4 linked regions of the Drosophila melanogaster genome follow. The protein of the gene in region 1 interacts with the protein of each later gene in a pairwise test. Each region holds a gene or a part of one and is shown in the gene's direction. Other genes may lie near its edges. The genes, in order: CG8478, CG1603, CG1024 and Awh.

What was found.
Region 2: the proteins of CG8478 (region 1) and CG1603 interact in a two-hybrid assay, tested with the Drosophila melanogaster proteins (one large-scale study listed by BioGRID).
Region 3: the proteins of CG8478 (region 1) and CG1024 interact in a two-hybrid assay, tested with the Drosophila melanogaster proteins (one large-scale study listed by BioGRID).
Region 4: the proteins of CG8478 (region 1) and Awh interact in a two-hybrid assay, tested with the Drosophila melanogaster proteins (one large-scale study listed by BioGRID).

The regions. Positions count from the first base shown.
Region 1 is NT_033777.3:9,758,939-9,766,635, forward strand, and holds CG8478 (uncharacterized protein), read left to right. Parts: upstream 1-4,815; 5' UTR 4,816-4,964; coding exon 4,965-4,997; intron 4,998-5,087; coding exon 5,088-5,688; intron 5,689-5,742; coding exon 5,743-6,609; intron 6,610-6,670; coding exon 6,671-6,900; 3' UTR 6,901-7,197; downstream 7,198-7,697. Other genes in the region: Alg12 alpha-1,6-mannosyltransferase, read left to right, coding at 1-273; Mpi (mannose phosphate isomerase), read left to right, coding at 964-1,540, 1,594-2,207; Snap24 (Synaptosomal-associated protein 24kDa), read right to left, coding at 3,273-3,911; MED6 (mediator complex subunit 6), read right to left, coding at 7,503-7,697.
Region 2 is NT_033778.4:7,512,190-7,520,069, reverse strand, and holds CG1603 (uncharacterized protein), read left to right. Parts: upstream 1-3,679; 5' UTR 3,680-3,805; coding exon 3,806-4,102; intron 4,103-4,163; coding exon 4,164-4,427; intron 4,428-4,487; coding exon 4,488-4,850; intron 4,851-4,906; coding exon 4,907-5,743; 3' UTR 5,744-6,224; downstream 6,225-7,880. Other genes in the region: PIG-G (phosphatidylinositol glycan anchor biosynthesis class G), read right to left, coding at 1-469, 533-696; CG1602 (uncharacterized protein), read left to right, coding at 1,210-1,635, 1,692-2,045, 2,103-3,056; az2, read left to right, coding at 7,375-7,800, 7,867-7,880. UniProt on the Drosophila melanogaster protein: Chromatin-binding protein involved in the organization of active promoters and insulators. Essential for the activity of heterochromatin promoters; primarily binds to specific motifs within promoters of housekeeping genes.
Region 3 is NT_033777.3:6,374,767-6,383,043, reverse strand, and holds CG1024 (uncharacterized protein), read left to right. Parts: upstream 1-2,836; 5' UTR 2,837-2,879; coding exon 2,880-3,026; intron 3,027-3,089; coding exon 3,090-4,574; 3' UTR 4,575-4,638; exon of another isoform or gene 4,639-4,648; intron 4,649-4,810; exon of another isoform or gene 4,811-4,864; 3' UTR 4,865-4,890; coding exon of another isoform or gene 4,891-5,078; 3' UTR 5,079-5,139; coding exon of another isoform or gene 5,140-5,224; 3' UTR 5,225-5,695; downstream 5,696-8,277. Other genes in the region: TfIIFalpha (transcription factor IIFalpha), read right to left, coding at 515-716, 775-1,362, 1,439-2,358, 2,425-2,448; CG42537 (uncharacterized protein), read right to left, coding at 4,891-5,078, 5,140-5,224; CG42564 (uncharacterized protein), read right to left, coding at 5,776-6,661, 7,630-8,024.
Region 4 is NT_037436.4:3,843,044-3,851,122, forward strand, and holds the start of Awh (arrowhead), read left to right. Parts: upstream 1-3,162; 5' UTR 3,163-3,698; coding exon 3,699-3,704; intron 3,705-8,079. UniProt on the Drosophila melanogaster protein: Probable transcription factor. Required for the establishment of a subset of imaginal tissues: the abdominal histoblasts and the salivary gland imaginal rings.

The DNA.
Region 1 (7,697 bases):
ATGAAGATTCGACAAATTATCGAGCAGCACTACCGCGCCAAGGGCAAACAAATCGAAAACGACTCCGCAGAGACCCAAAAAACGCAAGGAAAGGCTGGATTACGGCAATCCGTAAAGTCCATCATAAAGCAGGAGAAGATCAAGGAAATGATCGAGCAGATCGCTACGATGGATCTGACACGCATCTGCGATTTGGAAAGGACTTCGACCAAAGATTGCTTAAAACAGGTCATAGACAAAATAGATGACAGCGAGGGTTTGAAATCCAAATGACAAAACCTATCACACTTTAAACTGTTTTATTAAATTAAGCTAAGCGTTTGTTAATGGCACAGTTGTAAAAATTTAAAATAAAAGCAATAATAAAAGCGAATCAAAATTTCAGGAATTTCCTATATCTTGATAGAAAATTAAGTCGCGGCCAAATCGCACCCGAATCGCGTCCGAATCGCGCTAAAGTCGCCTCAAAATCCCCCCTAAATCGCATCTAATCGCGCCTAATTAAGCTCAAACGCTCTAACTAAACATAAATTGCCAAATAGAGTATGACACATTACGGCACGTCGGATATATTTTTTGCTGACCAAAAATAAATATAAATTAAATTATAGAGTATTAAAGTATCGTCATATATGTAGAACTAGTCATTAGGGATATCGCAATATCCCCATCTCTAGCTTAAACGCGATATATGTATTTAAAGTAACAGTGGTGGAAACACACCAAATTATTTCGGCAATAAAATCGAAATTACAAACTTCCAGAAAGCTGTTATCTATATAAAAAGGTGTGATAAGCCTTATGTCGCAGGTGTATCAACGCTAATCCACTTAATGGCGCTTTCACCACAGACCAACCCCTCTCACACGTATCCATTCACCAGCAATCATATGTTTTCTTATCACCTTCAGGTTGACCTCAAACGCAGTACGGCGAATTTTGGAAGGCAATCGGTGCGGTGAAATGGAGCTGACTGGATGGGTGAAGAACTACGGCTGGGGCCGCAAGGGCATCAACTCGGCGGTGGCCCAGCTGGCAATGGCCAATGATCCGGACTTTCGTCTGAACGAGGAGGAGACCTATGCGGAAATGTGGATGGGCACGCATGTGTGCGGTGTGTCCGTGGTCAAGGAAACCGGAGAGACTCTGGACCGAGTGCTAAAGAAGGACCTTTCATACCTGTTCAAGGTGCTAAGCATCAACAAGGCACTCAGCATCCAGGTGCATCCGAACAAGTGCGAAGCGGAGCGCCTGCACAAGGAGCGCCCGGATATCTACAAGGATCCCAATCACAAGCCGGAACTGGCCATTGCCCTCACGCCCTTTCTGGCCCTCGTGGGATTTATGTCAGCCGAAGATATCAGGGACTACATCGATGAGTTCCAGCCGCTGAGTAAACTCATTGGCAAGGAGGCTGTGGATCAGCTCCATGACTCGACCAACTCGGAAAGCGTTAAGTTGTGCTACGAGAAGCTGATGAAGACCGAAGAGCCGGTGATAGCCAAGTGCATCAGTGAAATAGCCAAGGATTACCAAAACGGTGAGCCATTCTGTGCAATCTATGAAAGATTTGTAAACATTCCTCTAAAATAGAACTGAAATCCAACGATCTGCTTGAGGTGTTCACCAAGGTCAACAAAGACTTCCCCGGCGATGTGGGCGTACTGTCCCTGTTCTTCCTCAACCTAATCCGCCTGCAGCCCGGCCAGGCGATCTACTTGGGCGCGAACGAGATTCATGCCTACCTGGACGGCGACTGTGTGGAGTGCATGGCTTGCTCGGACAATGTGATACGGGCGGGCCTAACGCCCAAGTACAAGGATGTGGACCAGCTGCTGGAATCTGTGATCTTCGAAAGTTCGTATAAGGATCGCAAGGAGTTCATTCCGTACCGCATAGATGACCAGGTCCAGGTCTATATTCCGCCAGTATCCGACTTTGCAGTGATAAATGTGAATATCGAACACTCGCTGGAGTCGTACAAGCTGGAGATACAAGCATTCGGCTCCATATTGATAGTTCTAAAGGGATCCCGCATTCTTAAATTGAAAACCCAGCAGGGAGATAAGGAGATCTTGGTAACCCGCGGCAGCATTGTGTACATTCCCGTCGAGGCGGCGCCGGAAATCGAATTCGCCCAGTCCGACGATTGCGACGAGGACTTCAGCGGCTACATAGCAACCAGCAACTACTTTCGAGTGCCCTAAAATTCTCAGTTAATCGAAATATTTTGTACAGTGCAATAAATCCATTAACACGTTTTGGTGGTGAATTATTTTGTTTATATTTACTTGCAATTAAGAGCTAAGAATGTAAGCTAAAGTGGCAATAGTAGCGATAAATAAGTTATCTAATCAATTGGCTATACTCGTTCCATAGTACATTTAATAATTAACGAGAAATATCTTGCGCACAAACAGGTAGTTTCTTAAATATTTGCGATAATTGCAACCAACAATTTCAAGTACTTAAGCTAGAGCTACGTAACTCGATCGGGGTTACATTCACTGGGGATAAATTATTCATATGTACGAAGCAAGAGGTTCGAGTGCAAATCTAGTGTAATTCAATAGAATTGGTGCTTGGACTGCTGTGCTGGGCTTGCGAAATGCCCAAATACATGGCCTACTTAAAAAGGGTTAACAATGGAGAACATAAAATTGGCTACGTTATACATAATTTCCGCCCGTCTTTGTTTGGTTTTTCGGTGCCCGTGCGGGATGCGGTGGTTCTACGAATTGTAAATACATTAATTCACATTTATCCATCTCAGCAGTTGCTTGGTTTGATTTCACAAAGATCGGTAAAATGCTCAAAAAGTTTGTACCAAAAACAGAGTACATCATATACGGTAAATCTCATAATAAAATTGTTTCCGGCGCCATCTGGTTGCCATTTGTACACGAGTGTAGTAATAGTAAGTAGTTAGTATGTTGGTTCGCATATATGTATATATATATATATATATATATATATATATATATATATATATATATATATATATATATATATATAGTTTTAGAAAGTAGTAGTTAGTTCATCCGGCTCGGCGGCTTAAAGTTCTTGTAAGTAGATGGGTTTGTTACGCTTGCGTTTGCCAGGAGTAGTTGCCACTACTTGTATATGTGTATAATATATGGTATCAATAACGCAATACCACCAGCTACGGTTTGTGCCCACAACATTGGTTTCTTTCCCTAACAACATTGAAATGGAGGTGGTGTCTGACTAACATGTTCGCTATGGTTTCGGGACGTGGCCGTTGTGCATATTTAACTCTTGAGCAGATTGTTGGCGCGCTTGTTCACGCCGTCCATGCGAATGTTGTTGGCATCGCCCTTGGCATTGATGCGATCAACCTGTTTGTTTTGGTTCTCCAGCTCGGAGCCCATGTCCAGGGCCATGTTGCGCAGGTTGCCCAGCATCGAGTTCACCTGCCCGAGATTCTCGTCCATCTCATCCTCACGCGCATCGTTCGTGATCCTGGCCACATAGCCGGACTGCGGTGGTGCACCCATGCCGCCGCGTTCCCGCTCATCAATGACCCTTTGCGGCTGGCTGGCCACGATTTTGCCATCGTCATTGGCCTTCCAGGCGCTCTCACCGTCGTCCTTGATGTTCACCTTCTTCCACGGCAGCACACAGATGCCACAGCACTTTTCCATGCCACTCAAGTTCTTCTCCGCCTCCCTCATGTCCGCGTTGATCCGGTCCATGCCCTCCTCAATGCGGTCCAACTGCTCGCCCTGGTCATCCAGGGCCACCAGCGTGCGGATTCCAGCCTCCTTGCTTTCGTCCATGAGGGCGAGCATCCGACGCGTGCTCTCCAGGGATTCATCGGCCACCTGTCCGGACTTGAACTGCAGCTCCTGGAGCTCAGTGCGCGGCTCGGCATTCTCCACGGCGGCCATTTCGGAACTATCTATCTGGTGAGATCACTTGAACTTGAGCTTGGCAAGTGGTTGAGAGGCAAGACGGCTGTCTTGTTTTTTTTTTGGGTGGGGAAATCTGGCCAGTGACTCACTCGCGCGAGATGAAAAACTACCCTTGGTGCTGGTTCGGTGTGTGAACTCGGTGGATATGTAATTGGGGCGGGGATGAGCTCGTTTGTGCTCCGTACGTAGGAACTTATTGCCAAGGTTTAATAATTTATTTGCGAAAGTATGAATTTTCACACCACACAACAATTCGCCAATTTGTATACTAGAGCTGCAAAAAAATCGATGTTAGTATCGATGTCGTTTTCGATAGGCGATTTTTACGTGTGTTCACACTGTTTAATATTGCATTTAGGCTTAGTTCGCAACAAGTACAATTAAAGAAATTATGCAAAACAAGCTGCAAACTATTTACGAAACAGGGCTTGCTTACGTTTTACTATTAAATCTGAGTTTAAAAGTTTAATATTGCATTTAGGCTTAGTTCGCAACAAGTACAATTAAAGAAATTAAGCAAAACAAGCTGCAAACTATTTACGAAAGAGGGCTTTCTTACATTTTACTATTAAATCTGAGTTTAAAAGTCGATTTACCATGCATAAACTAATAATCCAGTCTGATATTACACTTTTATCTAAGACATGAACCCTGTTCGAGTCTGATAAAACACAATTATTTTATGTTTTCAAAAATATTTCCCATCTAGTCACTGTAACCTTTCAATTCGTCGTGTGCCGAAAAAATTAGATTTATTTCTACAAAGTCTCCTACGCGTTAACATCAATTTGAAAGTAGTGAAGAATTTATAGTTTTTTCAATACTTTTCATAATTTAAAGCCGCGCATTCCCATCGGCGCCGTTGCTATCTTCATTGCGCGCGCAGTGTTGAAAAGTGTGTTTGAAATATTAACGCTTTGTTTTTTCGGTACAGCGTCGGTCTTCAGCTGCTCGAATTTTTGCTTAATTGCTTGTATTTATTAATTTGGGAATTCCTCGTGGCCAATTGGGAATAGCATATACTTAACCATGGACGATTCGCGCAGAACTATGGCCGGCAAGGCAAGTGTTTGGTGGTTTCAGTTGGTGTTGCTTCCATTTGCCGGGAAAAGACTTCCGAACATTATCCCATTTTCATTGCTAAAACAATAGTTTCACTTCCAGCAGATCGATTCCCGTAGCTCATCGATAATGACAAACGATGAGAGCGTCTCCATGTATTTATCCTTTGACGCGGAGGACACCCTGTCCAATGCCAAGTGGCAGTCGGCCCTGGTCACCCAGAACAGCCAGTTCCTGGAGGTGCACAACAGCAAGGTGGAGGTAAACACCGATGATAAGGACCTAAGGCGCACTATCCTAAAGGATCTGCATCAGTTGACCATTGGGGAACCGGACCAGAATTCTCCTCTGCGCCCATTTGACAAAAGTATTCTTAACCGGCACAACGCCTTGTGCTCCACTCCCTCCAAGGGCAATATTTCGACCGAAACGCAGACACCACAGATCATGGAGAGCATAGATCTGACCCAAATTGACGACAAGGAAAACACACAACCGGAGGGGTGTGGCGGCGATAACTCGACCTTGTCCAGTTCAGTGGACGTGACCGCCAATACGGTTAAGGCCAATACCCTAAAAACAGGGGATGCTACCATGGACAATGTATCCTTGCAGGAGGCTGCCAAGACCCCAGCTCCCAGCCAAGTCTATCCCTTGAGTGCGAACGTAGTTTTAGAGAATATAACTGAAGGTAGGTTTATACTATTGAGATATGGTTTCGTTCTATAAACATCTACATTTACAGTATCCAACGAAGGAGTATCCATGCTGGTCTCGCCAGCCGGAGCCGAAAAGGAGGTCGCCCATGTCAACGAGGTAGTGAACGAAGTCTCTGAGCTAATTGCCAAAGCTCTAAAGATCTCCGCTGATTCTGTGAAGCCAGCGACCTCCAAATTAAAAGTGGAGGCGGGCAAGAAGAGGCAGTCCATGAGCTCCACTTATTCGGGTGCCGCCCTACCGCGCCCTCGGCGCTCCTATCTGCCCACCACCACCGCAGAGACGCGAACGTACTCCTTCAAGCAGCGCATGTCGGTGGTGGTCAAGACAACGCTCAACAGCCCAGCTCGCAAGCGGAGTGTCGGTGGCGGTGTGTCACTAAGCCGTCGCAGCTGCTTGCCCGTCTCCAAGCTAACAAAGAGCAGCATAAGAAAGTCGCTCGCTGTGACCAGCGTGCGTTCGCCTGAGAAGATCGCCTCAAAGCCGGCTAAGACATCGACAAAAAGCATTCCGGAGAAAGTTTTTAGCTGCAAGAATTGCAGCACAACCTTTCGGGTGAAGTCACTTCTTGACGTGCATATGCGAATGCACGATCCGGTTGACAACGGAGCCAATACCCTTAAGCGTCTGAACAGCAATCCGGTTGCAGCGGGAGTCTCGAAGAATCGCTGCAAGTTTTGCGATAAGAATTTCGCACTGGAACGTGCCTTGCACATCCATTTAATGCAGAACTGCGACAAGATACCGCCGTCCGAGAAGCGCAAGCTGGAGTTCACCGAGCTGAACCACGAGAAGAAAGCCCAGCTGCCAAAGATCGGTGGCACCAGTGGCATTAACCATCCCATGACGATGCCCCAGAAGCCACAGCAACGCATTAGTACTATTCCCAAATTAGGTAACTATTGATTGAACAGCACGCGTTCTTAGAGAGAAATTATTACAAACCCAATTCACAGCTCCCTCACAAGGAACCCAGTCCATGGCTCCACCGAGCGTGAAAAAAATTCCCAAGAATGTGGCGCATGCCGGCGTCTACCGCACTCCCACAAAGACTGTGCCCTGCCACATCTGCAAGCAGTCGTTTAGGAGCATACTCGAGTTCACAAACCACAGCCTGACGGTGCATGGAAACAACCAGCTTAAGAAGATGACCGGCAGAGAGGATGCACAGAGTGCCCACGATTAAATTAAGCGATTCGTGTGTAGCCTAGTCTATGTCTAAGTTAAGTGCTGTGGCGTAGCTGTGGTCCGGTAACGGCGCGTTGTGAACAGATCGCCGGGCAGCTGTGAGTTAGCAATGCCTGGCATTTCGAGCGCTTCTAACTCAATGTTTCGGTTACTCGAATGCTTATTAATTGTACACTTCAGCTGCACGACTGGACTGCTTTGTGAATTTTTTAGGTTTTCGTATGACATTCACACAAAAATAACTATCGTAGTCTAAATGACAGTAATTACATTATATTCTAGGTTACTAAAAACTATTTTAGTTTTGAATTTTGTGTTTTCTTTTTTTTTTTGTTAAGGTTATTGATTGTTGTTCTTAATTGTTTTCTCACGGAACAAAAATTGCGTTTTAAAATTTGAATATTTAAATGGTCACTAGTTAGAGCCACTTTAAAAAAAAATAGTTGGCAGTACTAGCAAAAGTAGATTTCGCTGCTTTTCGCTGAGCGTTGGTTTGGCCAGTGGAAATGCAGGCAGCATTCAGCGCCTTTTATGCAGCTGCCAAAGGACTCGGACTAATATGTATGTACGTTTTTTGAGGGTGCACCTGCATTCACATAATCACTTGCTCTTCTTTTCGGGCGGTGGCTTCATGTCCACACCCTCGGTTTTGATATCTAGCGGTCCTGTGGCATTGTTCATTTCGGAGGCATTTCTCGCTGTGTTCAGATCATCGCCCGCTGGTGGCGGCTGCTGGAGATTCTGCAGCATGGGCGGTATTGGTGGGGGAAATTTACGCAAAAGCTCTGCCAGCAG
Region 2 (7,880 bases), on another chromosome or scaffold:
GTGATCGAGGCCCAGATAGTGTAAAATCAGCAAAGACCAGTCACTCCGCTCCAACTCAGTCTCCAGCGTTTTGGTCACATTTCTATCGCCCTCGTAGAAGTCGTTAACATAAAAGGAATCATGGTTCTCGACCTGCCGTGTAAACTCGCTGGGAAAGAGCTTCACCCAGGTGTGGTCGCCGGCAAAGGAAACAACTCGATTCTGCTGTTTTAGCCGGTGCAAGAACGAGTCCTGCATCTGCTCCGTATGACCCACGTTTAGCGCAATGTCGATAAAGTTCGAAAGGGTGCCGGTGGTGATGCTCTTCAAGCGTGGCATAGTCACCGTCGGTATGTCCACATGGAGCTTAAGCTTCTCGCAGGCCCTAGAATAAGCCACCGGCATAGACGTGGCATCGGGAAAATCATCGCGCAACGCGTCGACCAGTAACAGCACAAAGGAGTCATAGGCAGGTGGCGGCGGCGTCAGTCTGTAAAGGGTAACGAGCATTATAGGGGCGCTATCTCACGCAATTATCAGCTCATAAACTCACTCCATGCCAAGCAGAGCGGTGGGCCGGCCCTCTGGCACGGTGCTTTCCTTCTCCGCCACCGAGTAGGAGGCCGGAAAGAAGCCAATCAGAAAGAGCACGGCGCCGCAAAGGAACGCCGTGAGCATGCCGATGGTATAGACCAGCCAACTTTTGTGCTGTTCCATCTTCTTGTTTTCATCGAAAGTACCGCGCTCCACCGAAAACCACAACAAATTCAATATAATTGCCGCCCGTCAGCTGGAAGTCAAATATAAAGGCTAGACAATCGATAAGTGCTGTATGCTATCGATAGACGGCAAGCAAAACTTCAGGGGCGTAGGCACATAAAACTAATAAATGCTAAAGTCTTACGTATAATTTATATTTATTTTAAAACTATTGATACGAAAGAGTTAAGAGAGGAAATTTGTTAGCTTTATGGAAAAAAAGTATTAATATTTACATAATATTACTAACGTTTTGCCATTTCTCGAAGTGTATATTATTTTATACTTAATTTATCTTAATTTACATTTAAAATCTTACATATAAAAGAAATTTTTTAAATTTGATACTTATAAAACAAACGAATTTAATATCGTCTGTCGAACCCTTTTGCCCATTTGTGAATGCGCCCATGGTCTCTCATAGTCGGATATGTATAAACAAACGCTTTTGATTGTTATTTCTAACTTAAAATGGAAACTTGCGGCCTTATTTGTGTGAGCAGGGACTACGAGAAGTTCCTGATGCGCTGCTCCTACTGTCCAACGGACGTGGAGGTGGCCCAGTGGCAGGAGTTTGTGCTGCACATCCGCAACGTGCATAGCAAAGTAAGGAGCATGGAAGACGACTTCGAGCCAGTGGGGGAAAATTCTACGGAGTCTGGGCACGTAGATCCTCCAGAGGAGAAACCCCAAGCGGAAGAGTCGATATTCCAGCAAGACGAATCGGCGGACGGAGCCTGTGTACAGCTGCATATTGACGCAGTGCGTTCGTCGACAAACGAGACTGAGGAGTCGGACGTATCTTTGGTTACAGATGAAGAAGAATCCGTCCAGGACGAGGATCCAAGTGAACCAGCTCTTGATGATGCCAATTTAAAAACCACACCCACATACAAGGTACTTCTAGAAGCCATTCATGAACGCGCTAAACTAATCTCAGCATTCAACTTCAGTTTCATCCATCCTTCTTTCGCCGAGATCACCGAACCATAAAGTTCATAGAGATCTACAAGGAACACCCGTGCCTTTGGAATCCCGCTCACAGCGACTACAAGGAACCCAAGAAATGCAAAGAAGCCCTGAAGCGTATGGCCATTGACTTGGAGGCAACTGTATCCGTATTCCTGAACGAGATGGCCTTAAAGCTGGCCATCAAGAAAGTCCACATGCAGTTCAACACCGTGCACAAGCGGGTGGTGTCTGGAAAACAGAAACCTCAATCGCTGGCTTTCAGTATATACAAATTGTGTTGCTTCTTGAACGCTAGCAACGATGAAGAAGGGGCTACGAATAACGAAAAAATTAAGGCAAGATATTTGAATTAATTCAAATTGAAATTGTTAACAAGCATACTTTGCCCGCAGCTTGATTTCTCCAAGAAAAACAAGCTGACTACCGACCTGATAGAGATGTACGCAAACTTTCCGCAGCTATACGACTCCAACCACAAGGAGTTCTCCAATATGAGCTCTCGAAAACAGGCATACGAGAGCATGGCTGCGGAAATCTCAGTGCCCAATGTGGACATCAACAGCGATGACATATTCCGCGCCATCCAGAATCTCCGCCAATGGTACTACAAGAACACTAAGCATGCCATTTATGCCGGAAGTACAGCCGAGAAGTTCTACCTAGAGGTGTGTCGGTTCATGCCTGCAAAGATGTACAAGCAGCGGCTGGTCTGCGAATTTTGCCACCAGATTACGTCCTCGGATCATGTCCTGCAGTCGCACATCTTCAAGGCGCACAACATCGGCGAGCTGCCCTTCAAATGCACCTTGTGCGACCGAAGTTTTGTGGGACGTTGCGAGCTGGCTAATCACATACAGCGGGTCCATATCGGCAAGACCCACAAGTGCACCCATTGTGAGCGTTCATTCGCTGTGATGTCGGACCTGCAGCTGCACATCCGTACGCACACTGGCCACAAGCCTTACGTCTGCGAGCATTGCGGCAAGGCCTTCCGACTGCGGTCCCAAATGACGCTCCACGTCACGGCTATTCACACGAAGATCAGAGCCTTCAAGTGCACCATGTGTCCCAAAGACTTTGTGAAAAAGGTCGACTTATCGGATCACATCAAGGGCCATTTAAACATCCGCGACAAAATCTGCAGTGTGTGCGGTAAGGGATTCACCAGCTGCCATGCACTCATCCGACACCGGCAGATTCACTCCGAGGTGAAGAAGTTTGTGTGCAAACTCTGCGACTCCAGGTTCTCCCAGTTTGTGGGTCTTAATACGCACATGAAGCGCACCCACAACATTCTTCGTAATAATTCACAAAAGGGTAAAGATGCTGTGGATGCAGAGAACTGAATTTGATTAAATTTGCAATAAAATGACAGTTTATAAATAGGCAATCTTTTGCAAATGGGGGGAAATAAAAATACACAAATGAGAGTGAAACAATATGTTTAAACAAATTTATTTATATAACGGTTTAAGAATGTATATTAATAATTAAGAATATAAATTCTACATTATCTGGCCATGTCCATCTGTCGAAATCTGGGGATGTACATCTAAAAGCCTAAACACATTCCCCTGCCTACGCTGCGCTATTTTTTCCAAAATGTTGGCACGCCCACAAGGCGCCGACAACTGTAACGCCCATACATTTGAAAAACGTTTTGGTGTTTTCCTGTTCATATTTGTCTCGCTATTTTCTATCGATATGACAAAAAAAATATAATTTCTCAACAAATAAGCTTGATTGATTTTGATTTTTCCAAATGGTTAGTACTAGAATTTTATAACATTTTTTTTCGAAAATTGAAATGTACTAGTTACTTTAAAGATTCATTCATGAAATGCAGATTTTTAATCATTTTTAAGCACCACCAACAGTTGTTAAAACGTTTTCTTTTAAGCCTTCATAAAATTGTGTTTAAATATTATTTTAAAAATAGATTTTTATCGAATAGTCTATCGATACATAATTATTTCAGTCGTTGTCCAACACAGTCCCAAACGCATAAAAAAATTGTTACCTTAAATAAACGAATATATTTTCAGAAAAGGAACATTTTTCAAGCTGAAGTCAGATCAGAGCGCACAACGTAAGCATGGAGCTGTGCGGCAATGTGATGACCAACTCCAAGTACGAGATGTTCCGGCTGAAATGCCTCTACTGCAGCATAGAGAGCGAGCTGAAGGATTGGGAGCTGTTCATCGTCCATGTGAAATCGGCGCACTACTGCGAAGACGAGGACGTTAGGATTAATGAAATCAAAGAGGATACCGAGGAGCTATACAGCGTCGTTGACGCGGCGGACCCAGCCATCGCCTATGGGCCGGATGAGTTCTTCGAGGTGATCGAAAACAGCAATGGGGTCGATCAATGGATGGAAGCTGATAGCAAGGTAAGACTCTTTCACTCGCTTACCAAGGGTGGTCAAATAAGTGAGCTCTCGTTGACCGCAGGATATCCAGTACGAGGAAGACGCCACCGCTTGGTCTGCAGCTACAAACAATTCCTGGGAGTTCGGTCCAGGCGGCAGCTCTTTGGAACTTCCAGCCGGAAAGGAAGTCACACAAATGGACGAGTCTTCCCAAAATCACATACCCCTAAACACAGACGATGATGATGTTGATTGTAGTGACTTCTTTATGTCTGAGGATGACTTGGCACCTCCTAGAAAACCTGGACGTCCGCCCAGGCGAACAAGACCAGGACAGGTTTTCAAGGTTAGTACGTAGTATATTTCACTTAAGCTGAAATTCATTCCACTTAACGGCGTCATTCAGTTCAAAGTTTCGTTTATTCGGAGCAATCCCCGTGTGCTGCATTTGATCCAAGCGTACAAAGAGCATCCCTGCCTGTGGAACCCTTCCGATGAACACTACCAGGACGAGCCTGCACGAAGCATGGCCTACGAGGCGATAATGGAACGCATGGACCGCAAGGCCAATGTTCTCTTCACCGTGGAAGAACTGAAGAAAACGCTCGAGCAACTGCACGTGCAGTACACGCTGGCTTTGGAGACAAAACAAAGGGGAAAGCTTGTTGGACTTGCAGCGCGTTACTTTGCCAAGTGCGAGTTCCTCAGTGTGGCGCCTGTTGTAACGCCAAGGGAGAACGAGGAGGACAACGACTTGACTGCAATTAAGGTAATAACTAGCCCACTATAATGTAGCTCTTTTCTGACCAAAAATCCTTTTTTCAGCTTAATTTTAAGGAGGAAAACCTGATAACCACCTCATTCATAGAGACCTATGCCAACTATCCCGTGCTGTATAATCAAGCGTTGCCAGACTTTGGCTCAATAGAGATACGTGCAGATGCCTTCAAAAGAATGGCAAAGGAATTCCAGCCAGTGGTGAAGGCCAACGAAACGGACGTTTACATTGCGGTCAACAAGCTGCGCCGTTGGCTTTACGATGCCATTCGTCGCCTCAAATCCAAGGAACTAATTCAGAAGTGCAGCAAGCAAGAGGTTCAGTATCTGCAAATGTGCAGCTTCTTGCCCGCCAAGGGTTCCGAAAGTCAGGTGCTGTACTGTGACTACTGCGATAAACGTTTCCACGGCGACTACAACCTACGGGTGCACATCGTCAAGGCGCACGAGGTGGGCGACCTACCGTACCTCTGCTCGTTCTGCCCGAGGCGCTTCGACCGCCACGTAGACATGGACCGTCACAAGCTGCGTTCCCACTTCGAACGCAAGTTGAAGTGCCAGTACTGCGAAAAATCGTTCGCCGTGGATACCGACCTAAAGGTGCACACACTAATCCACACGGGCGAGCGGCCTCACGTCTGTGACATCTGCGGCAAGACATTCCGGCTCAAGCTACTCCTGGACCACCACGTCAACGGAGTTCACCTGAACATTAGACCCTACAGCTGCAATATGTGCACCAAAACCTTCCGCAAGAAGTTCGAGCTGGCCAACCATATCAAAGGACATCTGAATATCCGTGATAAGAAGTGCGAGTACTGTGATGCTACGTTCTATGACCATTCTTCGCTTTCCAGACATCGCCGCAGCCACAGATCGGAATGAACTCTCGCCTTGAGGGACATTTTTAGAAACTGCTTTATTTTTTGATAACGAGAATCAGTAAGCTTCATTTGATGTAAATCAAGAATAAACTTACGTTAGAGTAGTGATAATAACAAGCGTGTTGTTAAGCACTTACGGCTTTTGTGTATTTGATAAGAACATGTGTATGATAATCATATGCACAAGCTTTTCCTTTTTCATACTTTCCTTTTCAAAATTTGGTTTAAGGAATGTATTATTCATAAAAAAAAGAAGAAGCCGGAAAAATAAGTTCGTTTTAAGATAAATTTGTATAACCGTTACTTGTAGAGGAGATATTAGAATAACATATGATTTTTTGGTTCTGGCTCTAGATCTAGAGCTGGCTTGAGGCTCTCCCGAGTTTTTGTTCAAAAGTCAGAGAGCGGAGAGCTCTAGAGCTAGCAGCTCTATTATTATTATTTTTGATCAAATGACGTGTACAAAATTTTATATATATTCATTTTTAACAATGTATTTATATTTCTTTTATGAAATATATTTTTTTAAATGTATTTTCCTTTTTGCCAAATTTATATTTTTAATTACAATAGTTATAATAACGATTTAAGACTTTATTTAGTTTATTAGCTTAAATAATGATGAAAATAATTTTTATACGGTACAAGATACTGCTCATAGACCCTTGTTGAAGTATGTCGTCAGTGCAATTTTAAATATTTTTAATTATAAGCAAAAATAAATAAGCGGTATTTAATTAATAACAACTCTTCTTAAAAGAATAGTCAAGGCATTAAATTTTAAATAACTCTGTAGTAGATCGTATTGCAACAAGCTTTGACCAAAACTTTAAATATGTATGTATGTACCTTCGTTTCTGAGATCAAAATTGATTTCGAGACGAAAGTTTTCTAGCACAAGTATGCTCATATACACTTTCTCGTTTGTTGTTTTAACACACACAAGGAAGTACATTCTATTTTAAGAAATTTACGCTCTCCATTTTACGCGTGCGGAGTGAGATCAATTTTGGCCGTCACCAAAAAAGTAACTGCATAGTTGAAAACCAATGTAATGGCCGTTACGCACCTTAATATTCTAGTGTCTTTAAAAAAAGTGTATACTACAATATATTCGATGAAAGGTGTGTAACATGCAGAAGGAAACGTTTCCGACAATATTAAGTATATATATTCTCGATAAGGACCAATAGCCGAGTCGGTCTGTCCCTGTCCGTCTGTCCGTATGAACTACTTGTATTTCCACTGGCTAAGTAAGGAGTATTTGATTGTCGGGGAATTCGACTCTTGTTCCGAATGGGAATAAGTACCAGAATCAGTCAACTAAAAGTAGTGTTTTTATTCCAGCTTAAAATGAAATAGTTTAAAATATATTTAAAAATTTATAATTGATTTAAAAGTTGATTTAACACAACTAATACTCATGTTATAGCAAGATTTAAATTTAAGCTGTATAGTATATATAATTATTTGTCTACATATAAAATATTTTCTAAAATTGAGATGATTTCGTTTCAATGGAATTTCCGCGGGTATCTTCCCAACACTGACCATCCGGTGCTTATCGATACCGATAAATGGCGTTGTTGTTGTGCTATTTGGCATTGTATCTTATTTGTTTGTAAGCAAATCATGGTGGTTTGCGGGAACATTTTGGCCAGGAACAACTTCGAGCACTTTGTTCTGGCGTGTGCTCACCAAAATGACTGCTACGTGGAGATGGAGTTCAAGCGGTGGCGAGAGTTCATCGTGCACGTCAAGGAGCACCTGGAAGCAAATCCAAGCATGCAGCAAGAGCTCACTACTTCCGAAGTCATTTCGTCAGCCAAATGCGAGGAGGAGGTCTCGCCAGCCAAGGTGTTCATAGTGGAGGAGCCTCCGGAAAATTGCCTGGCTGAAGACATGTTCGTTGACGTGCCACCTTCATCAGAGAACGACGAGAGCACCAGCCCGGTGGAGGAGGAGGAGGAAGAAGACGACGAGGTGGACTCCTCCTCGATGACAGTTGACTGCGAATTGGGCACCAGAAACTCCACACACTTTGCTCCTTTAACCAAAGTAAGCAACTGACTACACCAGCAACAAAAACCAACAAATTAAAGCAGACGTTTTGCATCCCGGCAGTTCAATCCTACGTT
Region 3 (8,277 bases), 3.4 Mb from region 1:
AAAAGAGCATGACAGTCGCGATAAGAACGCTTTGGGTTTGGTTCACTTTTCTAATTATCGGATATTAGAATTTACATCCCACCCGAACACAGACACATATACAGGGCTAGAGCTGGAACTAAATCGATGTATAGCTGCTGCTGGCTTCCTGACGGCGATGTTTTCGTACATCGATTACTCCCATATTTCGATAGCTATCGACTAAAATTTTAAAAATATTAAAATCCAGTATTCTCAGCAACTGTTTCAGATCATTGTACAGAATTTAGAATTCTCAACTTCAGAACCTGAAACCATATAGAAATATAATACTAAGATATAGCATTAATAACTAGTTTTTAAGATTCTAGAAGTACAAATACAATGAATTGGTTAAAATCAGTTTCTGTGCAAAATACTACTTGCCTTTTCGAATTAACCAAGAAAATTAACCGATTTTCAGTGGTGCGTTTATATTTTGTGTTGAACAATAATGCATTTGAGTTATGAAACATTAAAATCACATGACTGCGGGCTACTTGATCCAGAGATACATTTTCCCCTGGATGGTGTGCTTGACGGGATTGATCTTCTTCAGGATTTTCGTCATGGTCTCGACCAAACGGTCGCTGGAGACAGGCGTCTTCTTGTTCTTGAACTTGGTGAGCAACTCGGTGGCGGTCAGGGGCTTTCGCTTAAGATACCGACGCACCGCCTCCTCGGTGATGCCGTAGTCCCTAAACAAAATACATGAAATTAGAATTAGGAATTCCAGTATATCACGGCTTTACTCACTCTACTTTGCCGCCAGAGAAGGAAGTGGGCAGCGATGTGCTAATCTCGTTCTTAGGCCTCTTTGCTGGCGTGCTGGTGGGACTGTTGCTTGTGTCCGAAGCGGTGAGATCGCTGGGTAAGCTGTTCATCTTGCGCTTGCTGGCATCCGTCGAGAGCGTTGGAGTGGCCGAGCGAGATTTATTGGCATTGCTGCTGCTGGCGATGACCTTGCTGCTCGCAGCGCTCTCTTTCTCCTTTTCCTTTTCCTTGTCTTTGTCCTTGACGACGACCTTCTTCTTGGGCGGTCCGTTGCTAAGGTCGTCCTCGGAGTCTGTGCTGTCAGAGCTGAAGTCTGTGGACGAGTCACCGCTGCCATTCGACTTGCCCTTCTTGTCGTCCTTTGTGGGTTTCTTCTTCTTTTTGTCCTTGGATACCTCGTCCTTGCCCTTATCCTTCTTTTTTTTCTCGCCGTCGGCATCCTCCTTGTCCGACTCATCAGACTTCTTCTCATCATCCTCCTCTTCATCGGAGGTAAGCAGCTTGCGGAGCGCATCTTCCTCGGCCACGCCTTTCATGTCCTTGTCCACCTTTGCCTCTGGATCTGGTTCGCTAGAATAGGGTATAAGAAATTAGTAGATGTGGTCCAAATTGTATTGCCATTATCAGAATCGTTTGGGGCACATACTCTTCACTGGAGCTGGTGTCGTAGTCCATTTCTCTGCCCTCCTCGTCACCATCGTCCGACTCCTCGAAGGCCTCGTCATCAACATCCCTCTTTTTCTTTTTCTTGTCTGCGCCCTTCTTGCCCTTTCCCTTGGCCTTGCCATCGTCGCTGTCTTCCTGCTCCTTCTTCTTTTTATCCTCCTCGTCCTCCGAATCCGACTCATCCTCGGAATCAATCCATTCATCCATGTCAGTGATCTTGAGCTCCTTGGATTTTTTGGTGGCTGCCTTAATTAGCTTAGCCTCCTCCGGATCCTGCTCCTCTTCCTCATCGCCGCGCAGACGCTTTCGCAACATAAGGGAGAAGTAGTTCATCACCTTTTTGCGCCGACCAAATTCCTGTTCGGCCTCCTCCGCCGACAGCGATTTGTAGCGCTGAATAGGCTGGAAGTTGTACCACTCGGTCAAGGGGTATGCCTCAATGGCGCCGTCTGGTGCATGGGTGAACACATAGAAAGCTGCATTCTCGCCTACGCCGCCCTCGCGGATGCCTTTGAACTTCTTTCCAGTCTTGCCACCCACTTTAAGGATCCATGGCTGTGCCTCTGGACGGTACTTTCTCGCTATAATGCCAAACTTCTTGCGGCGCGCCTCCTCGCGCTGATCCCGGTTGTACTCCGATCCAGCACCAAACTTGGGCTGATCCTCCTCCATGCCCCGGAACTCCTTCATGTTGTTTTCCCGCTCCAGTTTCACATTTCTCCACTGCGCGAAATCCACATTGAGCGTGGCGTTGAACCGCATCACATGGTGCTTCTTGGGCATCTTGGGCACGCGGATCTTGAACTCCTGCACGTTGGCGGATGACGAGGCGGATCCTGAGGCGACAGAGGCTGCGGCGGCGGCAGCTGCGGACGTGGAGCTCCCGCTGGCAGCGCTCGGCTGCATGAAATCAAGCGAAGACCGCAAATAAGTGTTGGCGCCGGAAGCGGCAGGGTAAAGACTTACCGTCGACTTTGACGCGCTCGACATGGCTTAATGTTTGCTAATCATATGTTGCTTCTATCTGGATATTTTATACTTTTCCCCAAACTCTTACAATTCGCGGCGCGGGCAGAAAAGTTGGATTTTCTAGCGATGTCCGATAACAGAAGTGCAGTTATTCTTTGGAAGCAAGTGTATCGTATCGTTTGGGCAGAAAAATAATATTTATTCCAAGAGATTTTGATAAACAAATTGGAAAAGTAGATATTATAAGATTGCATATTCAAGCCCTACAAGGTATTTAAAAACTTCAAAGTTTTGTAATGTTCTATCAAAATAAAGTGACAGCCGATATCCGTTCACAGTCACGGTTATCGATTACCTCTTTTTAGATAAACGATTGTCGCCATAGCAAATAACGATAAATTCACAAAGCGCTGTCTAGTTTGTTTGGATTTCATTTGCAGTTTGTCGCTTAAATGTTAGGGAAAATGTCGCGGAACGTGACGCTCTCGGATGAACAAAGTCGGCTTAATGCGCGTCTGGAGGCGCACATGGTTTACATATGTCCGGAATGCGGCAAGGCGTTCCGCACTCAGGCGGAGTGGCGACAGCATCTGAACACGGCAAGTTGCGGGTTTTGTGCAAATCAAGTTCTGCTTTAATAATGGTTTGAAATGTGCCCACAGAAACACGACTATCTAAAGAAGACGTACTCAGATTTCAACTTCATCCAGATCGACGAGCGATTCCATGAGTGCCAGCTGTGCTTCAAATGGGTGGAGAATGCCCACAAGACAATCGCCCTCCTGCAGTACCACTACTTTATGCATCTGGAGCACAGTGAAACCTACCGCTGCGTGCACTGCCGCATGGCGTACACGAGGCGCCGGGCTCTGAACGTCCACCTACTGGACACGCACATGCGGGAGATCGAGAAGTACGAGAACAAGCTGCGCCAGATGAAGCGGCAGCAGGCGAAACCCACTACAGCGGCCGCACCAGCTGGAAATGCAGAGAAGCCGATGGCTGTGAAGCCGCGTGGGCGTCCCAAAGGTTCCACGAACAGAAAGCAAAATGATCTGCTGCAAAAGGCGCTGATGGACATTGATCTGAACACAGAAATGGAAAAGTCCCCAGTGACAGCACTAGCGGCTCCTGTAAACGAACCTAAGCCCATTTCAAATGTCAGCGAGCTGAATCTAGATCGGTGTTTGAATGCCTACGAGGACATCGTGCGCAAGGAGGAGAAAGAGGTGGTGCCGAAGTATGACGACGAGTTGGATGCGCTCTGCAAGGAGTTTTTTGATGATGGCCCCTCCGCCGGCAAAGGAGAAGCTAATGAGGAGCAGCAGCAAGACGATGCGCACCTGCAGCAAGGAAATCAGGAGGTGGTCATCATCGAGATCGATGCACTCGGCAAGGAGGAAGTGGCCCAGCTGAAGAAGGAAATGAAGTCGGACCCAATAAGTCAACCGACTAAGCGTCGACGCATCTCTACGACGCCCAGCCGCGACTCAGACACGGAAATGTCCACCAACGGCCTCACGAAGCTCATATCGTACTTGTGTCCGAAGTGCGGCAAGGAAATCGCCTCGATGGACGGTTGGCGGGCACACGTATTCAAGAAGCACGACTTCGAGCACATAATCGAGAACAGTTTTAAGATCCTGGAGTCCGGGCGCAAGGCCATGTGCCTGCAGTGCCGTGAGGTGCAACCAACGACCGTGCGCTCACAACTGCAGAAGCACTGCTTCAAGCATCTGCCCTACCGGTCGTACCTCAAGTGCACACTCTGCGATCGCACCAAGACCAGCACCTCAAAGATCCTCAATCACATTCGCTACAACCACCAGGAGGAGCTGCAGCGTAAAAACAAGACGCAGCTGCTTATTAAGCCGGAGCCCATGTGGGCCAGTCCCAACAAGTCCGGTCAAGCGGCCATGGCGGATGACGCCGGATCCGAGGACGATCAGGGCGAGCAAGCTGTGTGCGAGCACTGTGACAGAGTCTTTAGGAGCAAATGGCGCTACGAACGACACATTGCCTCTTGCAGGAGATCTGGAGCTGGCAAGTCAGTCGAAGGGACCGTTGAAGCCTTGTTGAACCATCTGCGAGAAGGGCACATGCGAATGAACGCCATCTGGAAGACGATGCAACGTGAAAAGCCTTAGGTATAGTCTAGTTAAAGTTAAGTCGGTCCATCGTTTTGCAAATATCATCAAGTGTAAAATATACGTAAGTTTTCAAATCCTTGTGCAAATATTGTGCTAGGAAAAGATCATAATTAACACATACGACTTACATGCCTATGAAACATGTATCAATCTGCATTTAAGTTGTTATATGTTAACTATATAGCGTATACAACTAAATAATATATAGATATTTTAAATCCATTTCTCATAAATATGTTTTTCAAGAAGTACATTTATATTTTTTTTTTTTTTGCTGTGAATTATAGGACAGGATCGATAAAGGCATTTAAATTCATGGGCACGACCTTTGACAGTGTCTCAAGGAGCAGTAGCGATTCTGGTTGCCGCCACATCCGAGGTACTTCATCTTGAGGCACTTCCTGGTTCTCTGGTTATAGTACCACATTTCGTCCATGGCAGTTCTCCGGCAATGCCTTCCCCCAAATCCTTCGTTCTTGCCGCCTTCGCAACTCAGACGACCTGTGTGAAAGTGTAGATCAGCTATAAAAGTACACTTACTAAATGCTGTTATTAAACATACCCCTAGGACGACCATCGCAGCGATTCTGGCCACATGCGAGAGATACGTAGAGCACAACGCAAGCTAGAACCAAAAGTAACTTCATTTTCAACGGATTGCTCTTTGGAGGGTCGACTTGATATGACTGATCTGTAAAACGATGGACTTATATAGGGGCGGCTGCCAACATTTTTCCCAGTTCCCTAGAACGAGTAAAAAACATCTTGACAATCGACTCTATTGTTAAATGTTTTGAGGCTATCAGATAATAGTATAAAAAAGGGGCTTAAATTAAACTTTTTAAAGGCATAAGATGTGGGATGAACCATTCAAAAACGTTGCTGGAATGAAAATGTATTTTCCACTTTTAACTTAAAAAAAAAAGCTGCAAGATCGATCTTTCGCTCAATCCTATTGATTTCGTATCAGGGCAAAAACACTTGTGCTGAATGTAAATATGATTTAACCAGAATTATATTTACCCAATTAATTAACATTCTTTTCGTTAGTCACTTTGTATTACTAATACGAGGAATACTTTTCTGACTAATTCATTTTATAAATCAGATTAAGGATTAAATTTAACATGACGATTATTTATTATGTTTAATTTAAAACATTTCACTTTAAAGCAATTGTTATTCAGTTAGGTAAGCTTCAAGGCATAGCTATCCATTGCGGAGCCCAAAAGCCACTTGGCTTACGACTGCGCATGTGGCTACCTATCGAGCGTCTCATTATTGCTCTGCGTCTGGAGAAAGCCCTTTCCATGGTTCTAATAGTTGCGTCGCCTTCTGCGCCTTCCTGTTGCACGCGGTCATCATCCACCTCGTGATTGCTGGATATGACCACGATCTTCCGGCGACCATGGAACATCTCAGCCCGCTTTATCAGCGCCAGGAAGCGGGCGAACTTCTTCTCCAGCGCAGCCCTGTCCAGAGGCTTTGGCATGGGTTCCAGTAGCCCTTCGGCATGAGCTTCTTCCCCTCCTGGCGATTCGGAAGCGGGTGTCCCTCCAGCTGTTGGTGCAGGAGTGGAGCCTTCTCCCTCCACCGGGGTGACTCCTGGAGTGGCTCCTGGCGCTGCTCCGTCGACTGCTGGAGTGGCTGCAGCTTCTCCAGGTGCAGCTGCTCCTCCTTCGGCGGCAGGCGCTGCTGCTGCTCCATCGGCTGCTGGTGCTGGTGCCCCACCTTCAGCTGGCGGCGTTCCATCAGCGTTTTCGCCGTTGAGCATGACGAAGTCCCGTTTTCCAAGAGTTCTAGTTTTAATTTCGGGACTGGACGCGTTTCCTGCTTTCGGCGTAACCTTCTCGTAGACCTCGGACTCGGCGCAGAGATGTGCATATTTCGGGTTCGCTCCGGTCTTGCAGGACTCCGCCGCCTTTTTCCCGGGCTCGTAGACGGGCGAGCCCACAACCGGGGCGTGGCCATAGTTGCACGCGAAAAACGTCTGAATCCAGCCATGCCGGGACTGCTGAACGATGGCACAGCCCACGGATTCAGCGTTCTCCAGCACGATCTGTAAAAAGTTGTACTTCGGCGACCTGATAGATGGGAACACAAGTTGAAGTTGATTAATTCCGTTTTTTCATATAGTAATAAATCATGAAACCCACATTTATTTTATGTATTGAATGTTCTTAGATGTAGCCTGGAAATTTACAAGCGAATCTTTATATAAAATATTTAATTTTCGGACCAACAAATAATTAAAACTTTCTAAAGATAAGTTCATGGGGTTGAGTTCTTCTATTAAAGCTTATAAAAAACAATCGTTATGGATATGGATTATGGAATAAGCTAAGATAAATAAACTAAGGTAAGTCCCCTCTTAATTAATTGCAATCAATATCATCTGCAAGAGTCATCCGGCAGAATGCAATCCCTCGCCAGAGAAGAGAGCCCAATGGAATCCACATGCAATCGTTTTATTCTTGAGAAGATCGCGAAGCGTACGGCCGCATATAACATAAGAAGAATTTCATAACGGAGTGTTGTTAAAAGAAACTATATCATATCAAATATTAATATCAATAAAAAAAATGTGAGTGAAATCAACATCAAGACTAAATTACTATAATTTTCCAGCGGGTGGTCATGAAAATAAATGGATTCCTCTCCTTTAAAAGTTCATGTAAAATTGTCAAAAGGCATTTGTCGCACACTCGCGTCCATTATTTTGCAAGCCCTAATATTATTTTAGAAACAAAAAAAAATATTTATATTATCAACATTTATGTTGTCAAAATATAATCAATTGGTGTTTATAGTAATTTTGAAAAATTTAATTTTTAATTTAAGAAGAAAAGTGACAGAATTATAACATTCAGATACTTTGTCTCCTAATAACAACAGGTACAATTTTTCGGTCTTTTTATAAATTTAGATAAGATTTAGAAAGGATTACAAAATATTAAAAAATAAATAATAATCATTTCAGGTTGAAATATTTACCAAATCCCGTAAGGACGCCCGAGTAAACAACCCTATATATTCCTTAAGTGGTACTCACTGAGATTCCTGCTCGACATACTTCATGATGTTCACCATCGAAGTTCTGGATTTTTCCCGCAACCACACCCCTATGATATCCCTAAGGATATCCTCCAACTCTGGCAATTTTCCTTTAATGCCTCGATACCCAACCGTCTGGCCAGCGTTTTGCGTGAACTTCGTGTTCCGGCACTCGTCGTGCCTCAGGACACAATCCCTCACATTGAATTCAGCTAGGTAGGCCAGTTCCGGGTTCCACTTCAAGGTGCCCATCCGACTGGCAGGACTCAGTCCGTTGAACCCTCCTTTGGCCACGCTATCCCTCAACTCATTAAATCGCCTTAATAGGAATCTTTCCACCTTTGGGCTTATCACTATGAGCTCAGCGTCCAGAGAGCACTTGTCGTGCAGTTCCTGAAGATATTATTGGTAACAAGTTAGGATAGTAACGCATTTTGGAAACAAAAATAACCCAGAACTTTTAGTATGACATTTTGTAACGAAGGTATACCTCTCAAAAGCCAATCAATTCGAAATTAATATTCGTCACTAATCAATTTTATCAACAAATTTTATGACATTGAAAATTTGAAAAAGTCCTAAATTAATTTATATTTGGCTTTCTTTCAACCATTTATACCTTATATAGTGTATGCGAACAAAAAAT
Region 4 (8,079 bases), on another chromosome or scaffold:
CTGAAAACGGAGCCAACAAATTACCCTGAAATTTTCAGTGATCATAGAAAACGAGCACTGGGAGAAATTCTTTCTTTACAAGCTATCTATCTTCACCTATTTAATTATTTTCTAACTCTTTAAGGGCACATATATTTTCTCGGTGCATTTTCAACTATGAAGAGAGAGTTTCTTTTGGTCATCCCTTCCATCTTATCGCCGCGATCGGTATCTGCTTGGAGATGCCCAGCACATAAATCTGCCACCAAAATGGGCAGATCCAGAGGGAGAGGCCGAAGAAACCAAACCCAGAACCCAAACCCAAAAACCAGCGACTGCGACAGGTTGCAGCTCAATAAAGATCCAAATAAATATAATATCGCTGGTCTATGAGTCGAACAATGGGAGATATGAGAAGGATGTGTTCATTTAGGGTTCGCGGGTTCCAGTTCCATTTACCTGCCCGGGTTTCAACCTGTTCGAGGGCCAATTCGAAGGCGGTCGAAATCAAATGGCCAAGGCTTTTGTAAACGGGTGACATTTAAGAATTATGGCATGTAAATGGAAGGCATTCCCGGAACGGCGATGCGATGACAGCATCTCTTTCAGAAACCCCAGCCATCGGATTATTTTTTGATCGGGGGGCTACTGTTAATCAATTTAGAGCCTCGAGGGTCGAGCTATTTTTATTTCTTTCCAAAGTCAGATGCGGTCCAGGATAAGCAAAAGGCTGCGCTTCGATGTGCTGATTAATGGGCGATAGTCAAAGGTATTAGGGAAAGTATACAGATATGATTTTAATTAAGACATTTCGCTTTTAGTTTTGATCCAAATGAAGATCTTAATATGCACTATATGGCAATTGTATGAAAAAGTAGCAAAATTGCATGTTAACTGGATCATTTTATCGGTTTAATGTGTAATCTTATTGTAGTATTTCTTCTAGGCGCTCTATTTCCTTTAATTCCCAGTTTTCAGAGCGCTTTTTTTGCAGCATCCCACGGGGCGTATGCGTGTTAAAGCTACCAGCTGCTGTCGGACTTTTGGCTGCCTTTTGATAAATGCACCGCTATTAAAGTGCCGCCTTTGTAATGCGGAAACATCAAAGTGCACTTACACACACGCACTGCAAGGCAAACATTTGCATTCACACACACACAGGCACACACTGACAGAAAGCCATAAAAATCACTTTGTAGCCATGGAGGCGGTGCATCAGCGCAAACTATGCAACAACAACAGCGAGAAAAAGTGCAATGCAATCAATTCAAAGGGGCGAAAGGAGAGCGGAAAATTCAGCGTGAGGGGGAAATGGGGGTGTGAAATTACACTTGAAAAAATATGACCAACTTGCTGACGAAATGGAAATTAAACAACAAATGACAATACCCTAAAGCAGTTTGCAGGTTTTATGACAGATATTTCTATAAATGGTTAACTTTAAGCTTGAAGCTTTTATTTAAGTATAGAACAGTTTAAAGATATATTAATTTTTTTCCAGTGCAGTGACAGGAGAACGAGAGCCAGCAGGCAGCAGCATTTAATCCTGCAAAAAAGGCATTGCGAGGCACCATAAAATGATGTTAATCCTTAAATAACGTGAGCAAAGCAAAAAGCGGAGAAAAAGTGGTAAAAAAAACGGGGGCAGGCAGAAGGATTGGCGAAGGAGGAGGCGGTGGGGGCCACTCGACTGGATGATGGCGACAGCCAAATGCCAATTGAATGCCAAGCGGCTTTAAGAGACAGCCCACGATCAAAGAGACAGTGAATGAAAAATGGTGCAAAGTAATGGTTAAAGTGCTCGAAATGGAAATCCTCAAGGGGATCGGTGTTGCACATAAAGCTTAAACTCAGGCTTAAATCAAAGTATAAAGGGGACAAAGGAAACTGGAGTAACTTGAAGAGTTATTTAGCACCAAGGAATCATTAATAATAGTACTTTCTTTAAAAGTATTAATATAAAAGCAATATATTGTTATTGTTGTTATATTATTATTGTTAAAGCCATGCAATTTAATTTTATGTTAAATAAAATAAAATGTTTTTAACTTTAAACCTTTTTTTCTTTGAGTCAGTCTGCTGCGCTATCATGTTTGGCATGCCATCACAAACAGCCAACAGAAATAAAAAATATATAACCGAAAAGACAGCAGCATCCACTGGCATCAACTCACTTCCCCTCCATCAAGCGGTTTGACCCCAAAAAGTCAAGTGCGGCGGAGCTCGAGTTCCGTTTTCCCTCTCCCTTACTTCCTCCCTCGATATTCGGGTTTTCCTGGACTTTTACTCACTCAGGCAGCAAAAAAGTCAGCAGGAAAAGCAGAAATGACAGTAACATCAGTTGAAGTCACGGTGAAAATTATAGTAACAACAATATACTTACTTGAAAAAGCAAAAGTGGCAGTAACAACAGCAATATTATTGAAAGGCACAACAATTCAAGGAGAATCTTAAGTGGAAATATCCTGAGTAAAAGCAAAAGAGTTAGAAGCAACATCTGTTCCAGTAAACGCAGCAGCATGACAACTGTTACAACTGCAACAGGAGCAACATTGGTAGCTTTTCTAGGCAAAAGTAACCACAACAGTGAAATCTTTTCTAGGAAAAGCTGCTACAACAGATACTGCTTTATAAAGAACAAAAGATACAGTAACAGCAGCCACACGAGTCTCAAAAACAGCAGCAACAACATCGAAAGCACCAGCAATATGACAGAAATTCCTTCGAGTAACAGCCATATCAGTAGAAATGGCAACATCGTCACCAGAGCAACACCCACCCAATTCGCGGCACGATTTCACTCCGAGTTTCGACTCGATTCAAGTGGCCAAGTTGGCACGCGCCGGCGCACTCAATTGGTGCACAGGCGGCGCGGACTGGGAAAGCACTCAAAATGGGGGACACCACTGCGGAACTCGTTATGCGGGGCGCAAAGGGGCGTGGCCAGGCGGGCCAATCACCACCATTCCCGTTGCGCCGACGACAGATGTGCGCTCAAAAACCAGTTGAGCGAGTTCTCGAGTCGAGTTTCGAATGGGACTGACTGGTGGTTGTGGTTGTGCGTACGGCTGGTTCATCATCATACCTGTGGTGGTGGCGGGCATGCCATGAGCATATGGAAACCGGGCGTGAGCCGAGCCAGTTGAGCACCACCACCAGATCCCTGAGCTCGAACCCCGAGCGCCGGCAGTTAACGCAGTGGCCTCGAAGCTGTAACAACATCTCGCGTCCGCTCGATCCGCTCGATCCGCTCCGCTCCGTCACGAGAAAAGCGAGAAGCGCTCAGAGTATCTGCAGTGAAACGTGTTATCGTGATAAGGTTCTACGAGTATTCCATGCCATAAGGTGTCGCACATTATATTATTGAAATCGAAACGCAACATTCGCCGTCGGCTAAGAAAGTGAACTGTTATCGAATGTGCTAATCAAAAACAAAAAAAATGTTGCAAGCGCCTGCAAATTGATTTCTATCTCGGATATGCGAATTTACACTGGTTATTAATAGATCTGGTTTAAGAATACGATTATATAAGCATCCTATGCAGACGGCGGCTTCCGTGGGACGCTTGACAAACTGATCAAGTCGTCGTCTTTATCATCTATATCTCCTCATACTGGCTGCGATCGGGCTCGATATCGATTCCCAGGCTAAAGCTGGCGACAGATTTTCGAGCAAGATACTTGGATTAACAACCGCCAAAATTGTGGAGGCAATTAAAATGAAGGTGAGTCTCGATTGCTTTATAAAAAGATAGATTGAGTTGTAAAAAATCAACTTTATTGCTATTGGAAAGAGGAAAGTTATCAGTCTGTGTATTATAAATTTCTACATTTTTGAATAAAGTTAGTCTTTAATATTCTCTATTAAATTAGACTGTAAGTGTTGCATGTTCCACCCGTATTGCTCGGCGTTTGAGCGGTCTGTTTGCACACCCCCTCAAAATGAAGTTTCTGCTTTCCTTTTTAATTGCTGGACATAAAGTCCAGTAGACCCCGAGTGACCCACAAATCAGTTTTTTATGTAAAGTTTCCTAGCCCGCTGCGAGCATATTGGGCCAGAAAACGCAACAGGCGGCGTTTGCTCGACCATTGGGAGTAAAAAAAGAAGTGAGCCGGAGTTAAGACAAAAACCGGAGCAAAACAGTTTCAATTCAATTCGAAAAAGCCAGCACACTAATAGCGGCTGGAAAACGATGAGTTTTCAAAAATATGGAGACGACACAGGGCGGTGAATATGAAAAGCACACAAATCGCACAGTGGGGTTCCTCCCATCGAAAACACTCAGCGAATAAGCCACAGATCGCAGCCCACACTTTTGGGTATTACTCGAATATTGGCTGTGAAATGAAGGCTGATATTCGGATGTATCTGCAACCAAACCCCAAAAATCATATTCAACTTGGCCTTTTTTTTTTTTTGTTTTGTATCTTTTCAAGACATTGCATTGATCGTGTCGCCTAGATGATGTTGCTCAATCCCTTGTTCATTCAACAACACATATTTTTTGGTTTTTGAATTTCGAATTTGATTTTGACTTTGATTTTATTTCATACCCAGTCCGAAAACGTTTAATCGATTTTTACACCCGCTGTGCGACGGGCTTTTTTTGTTGTGTGTGTGAACCACCCACAGGATTTTCGAAAAATATTTGCCATGAGTCTGCAGAGAATCGATCATGATTTATGCTCGCCGATGATCGATTTACCATGGCTTTGTTCGACGAGCATAATTTTCATTACCATAGCAAATTGGACAAGGTGCTGACGCTTATTGCTCTGCGATATAATTTTAATCGCCCGATTTTATTTAGCTAGATTTCTATACGCACCACGGTCATAGGGGGAAAAATCAGATCAGCGGGGGATCCGCTTACAATTCGAAGTCCAGAACTCAAATGTCAACAGTTCTGAGGTGCCGTCGATGGTCAAGGGGCATGGGGGATTCTCGGCGAGAGACCTTTTCTTGACATCATCGATCTTGACCCGGCCCAGATGTTGGTGGATCCCCCCCCTTCCACATGTCGCCGCCCCGCTTTATCATCCAAATCCAAATCCGAAAATGACGCCACTAGGCGCTGCCTTATGAATATTCAACAAAGTATGGAGATGGAGTCTTTTTTTCCCTGCTCTTAGGTAGTCAGTCGGAGAAAGAGATATAAAAAAGGCATAAATATTTAAGCGCTTAAATGTCGAATGCCTGCGAAGCAGCTATAAAAAACGTATATACATATTTCAATAATCGATTTTTCATTAATAATTCACAAGAAAATTGAAAGATTGGAAAAAACTAAACCTCCCATAAATAGATACACCAAAAATGTTTTGTGTAAGAAGTCGTTGACGCCTCCATCTGCGGTTCGAAAAAGTTTTCTTTAATTGGCAATTGGGTATTTGAAGGCGAACTAAAAATACAGAGTGATTACAGAGATTTTAGGATTTGACTTTCTATATCTCCATCTACTTATTAGCTTTGAGTGTTTGACAAAACACCTTTTGAGGATTACACGCCTAACTCCATTGTCCCATAATCCCGCACAAGAAACCAAAAAAAGGAGCGCGTGCCGATGGCCAAGATTTTCCTACTTACCAAAAGGATGTTTTGCAAAACCAGCTGCCTGGCCAGCGGTCAGCAGATTTTTCAGCAAGCCCCCTAATAATTGGATTCCCAAACAAAGGACATTCTGAAGAGTGTCCTGTGACCACTGGTCGAAAATGCCTAATTGTCAACGCTGACAAGAAGTCTACGCCTCGGTTCTTGTCTCCTTGGGAAAACAATGGGCAAACGGAAAATGCATCTTGACTTGAGCCAATTGCCCCGATCAGGGACAAAGAGAAACAAATATCACACCTTTGTTTTGGGCCTCGAATCCATATATGTAGTATGTACATACCTATTGACAATAGATGCCAGAGTTCCTGGTCAGTTTTCAGTCGGGTTGCGCATGCGAATTGCAGGAAGAGATCGCTGGGTAGATGTGTCAAAATCGCAGCAGCATTTTTAGCAGGTAAATGCGAGAAGTCCTCTTCGAATGAACATCGAATGCAGGAGGCACAAGAGGTCCTCACAAAACCGCACAATGGAAGGCGAGTCGAGTGTCTTGCCATTGTTCGTTCGAGTGCATCCACAAAATAGTCCTTAAAGGACGCTTAGTTGGCCTACAAATGATGCATGGCCCTTGGGCCTGTAAAATTGTAAAATGCCACAAATCATTGCCACTCCTGTCTGCCGGCAACTCAAAAAAAAAAAAAAAAAAAGAAATCAAGGAAGATAGAGACCCAAACCCGCCCCTGGAATTTACGAGCCAACCCCTAAATGCAAACCATTCGATTTCGATTTCTGGCAAAAAATTCCAATAAATAAAATAAATGTCCTTTTGCCAGTTTGTCGCCTGAAAATATTCGCATTTAATTGCTTGACAATTGTAAATTGGCCAAAAAGGAATCGTTTTCGTATTACAAACTGTAGTTCGCATACTATATAAGTTATCCCACATTTTCAAAAGAACTTGATTTTAAATAAAATGTATAACACTTTCTAATATACATATGTATCGCTACAAATATGCCACTTGATTCGTTCTTGCCACTTTGTCATCAAAAAAAATTTGTTTTTAATTGCCTGACAATTGCAAATTGAGCCGATAGAGAATTTCAATATCATTTTATCGATGGCATCTACGAACAGTAGCCAAAGTGATTAGTTTTAGGGAAGCGAAACTAGTTTAGAACCTCTTTGCCGTTTGAAACTCACCGCTAAAATCATTCAAAGTCACCCAAATAAATTATCGGCTAGAACTTTGGCGGTGGCCCACAAAAAACAACTCCGGTCTTGATTTATTGGCCCACAAAAAAAGGGGGGACAGAAATACAATGGCCGAAAGCTGGAAACTGAAATATGAAAATATTATATGTGTAATTTATGCAAAATGCAGATTTAGCTAATTAATTGTGGCCAATGCTCAATAAAAAATAAGAAATCAAACACGAAATCCCCCTAAAAACTCCGCACAAAGATGAGCTGTAGTAAAAAAAAAAAAGACAGACGACGACTCGAAATCAATAAAAGCCCAACTTATTGATGTTTAGTGGCTGTGACATGTTGACGAAAAGACAAAAGCATTTGGGATTTTCGGTTTCGGATTCACTCGATGCTCGAGTCTCCAACTTTATGATGAATGCCTTAAAAATGCCAAAAAAAAAGATACATATTCAAAATAAAAAGCACGAAACAAATACAAGAGAACGCGAAAAACGCGTGTCGAAATCGTTTGAGATATTTGCGGGCGATTTATTAAGAGAACTTCGGCACGGCGATTTTCTCTCTCCCAGACTTTGAGTTTTGAGCTCTATTTGCACAACTGCCGCCCGCTAAATTTATGCAAAAAGAAAAAGAACAACATTATTGTGGCAAAATAAAAAACGAAATAATCTTAATTGATAAAAAAATGGCAAGCGAAATGTTTGCCGTTCTTCCAATTGCGAGGGTGGCTACACCCATAAGCTTTGAATTTCCAGCTTGATGCAAATGTTTTATTGAAATTTATTGCCCAACAAATTGCATAGCCACAGGGCGCTCTATTATACACAGTTTATGCATTCGAAATAAATTCGATGGAGATTATCTCTAATTAAGAGTTAATAAATGTGCAAGATCGCATCTCGATGAAAACATAGGAGCAGCGTAATTTCATTTGGCATCGTTACAAACTATTGTATTGCCATGAATATAGATATAAGCTGATAACAAATCTGGGTTTATAAAAAAAGACAAAATGCGACTAGAAATTATATGGAATACATATTAAATTTTAAAAAATTTCACCTAATAATAGTTACCCTTGTCAATTCTTAAATTAAATAAGGCCAAGTGGCTAGAAATTTGTAATTATAGTGCAAGAGTTCTATTCTGACTCCTCGTCCCATTACCATATATTTCGACCTTATCAATCCAGAAGACAAAAGGCCAAATCTGTCGCGACATATAGTATATAGTATAGTATAATTTACAAGTTCGTTTCAAATCGAAGACAGCTGCCGAAAGCCGCAAATGATTAAAACACGAAACAAGTTCAGAAATTCAAAGAGTTTACCTGATAGATA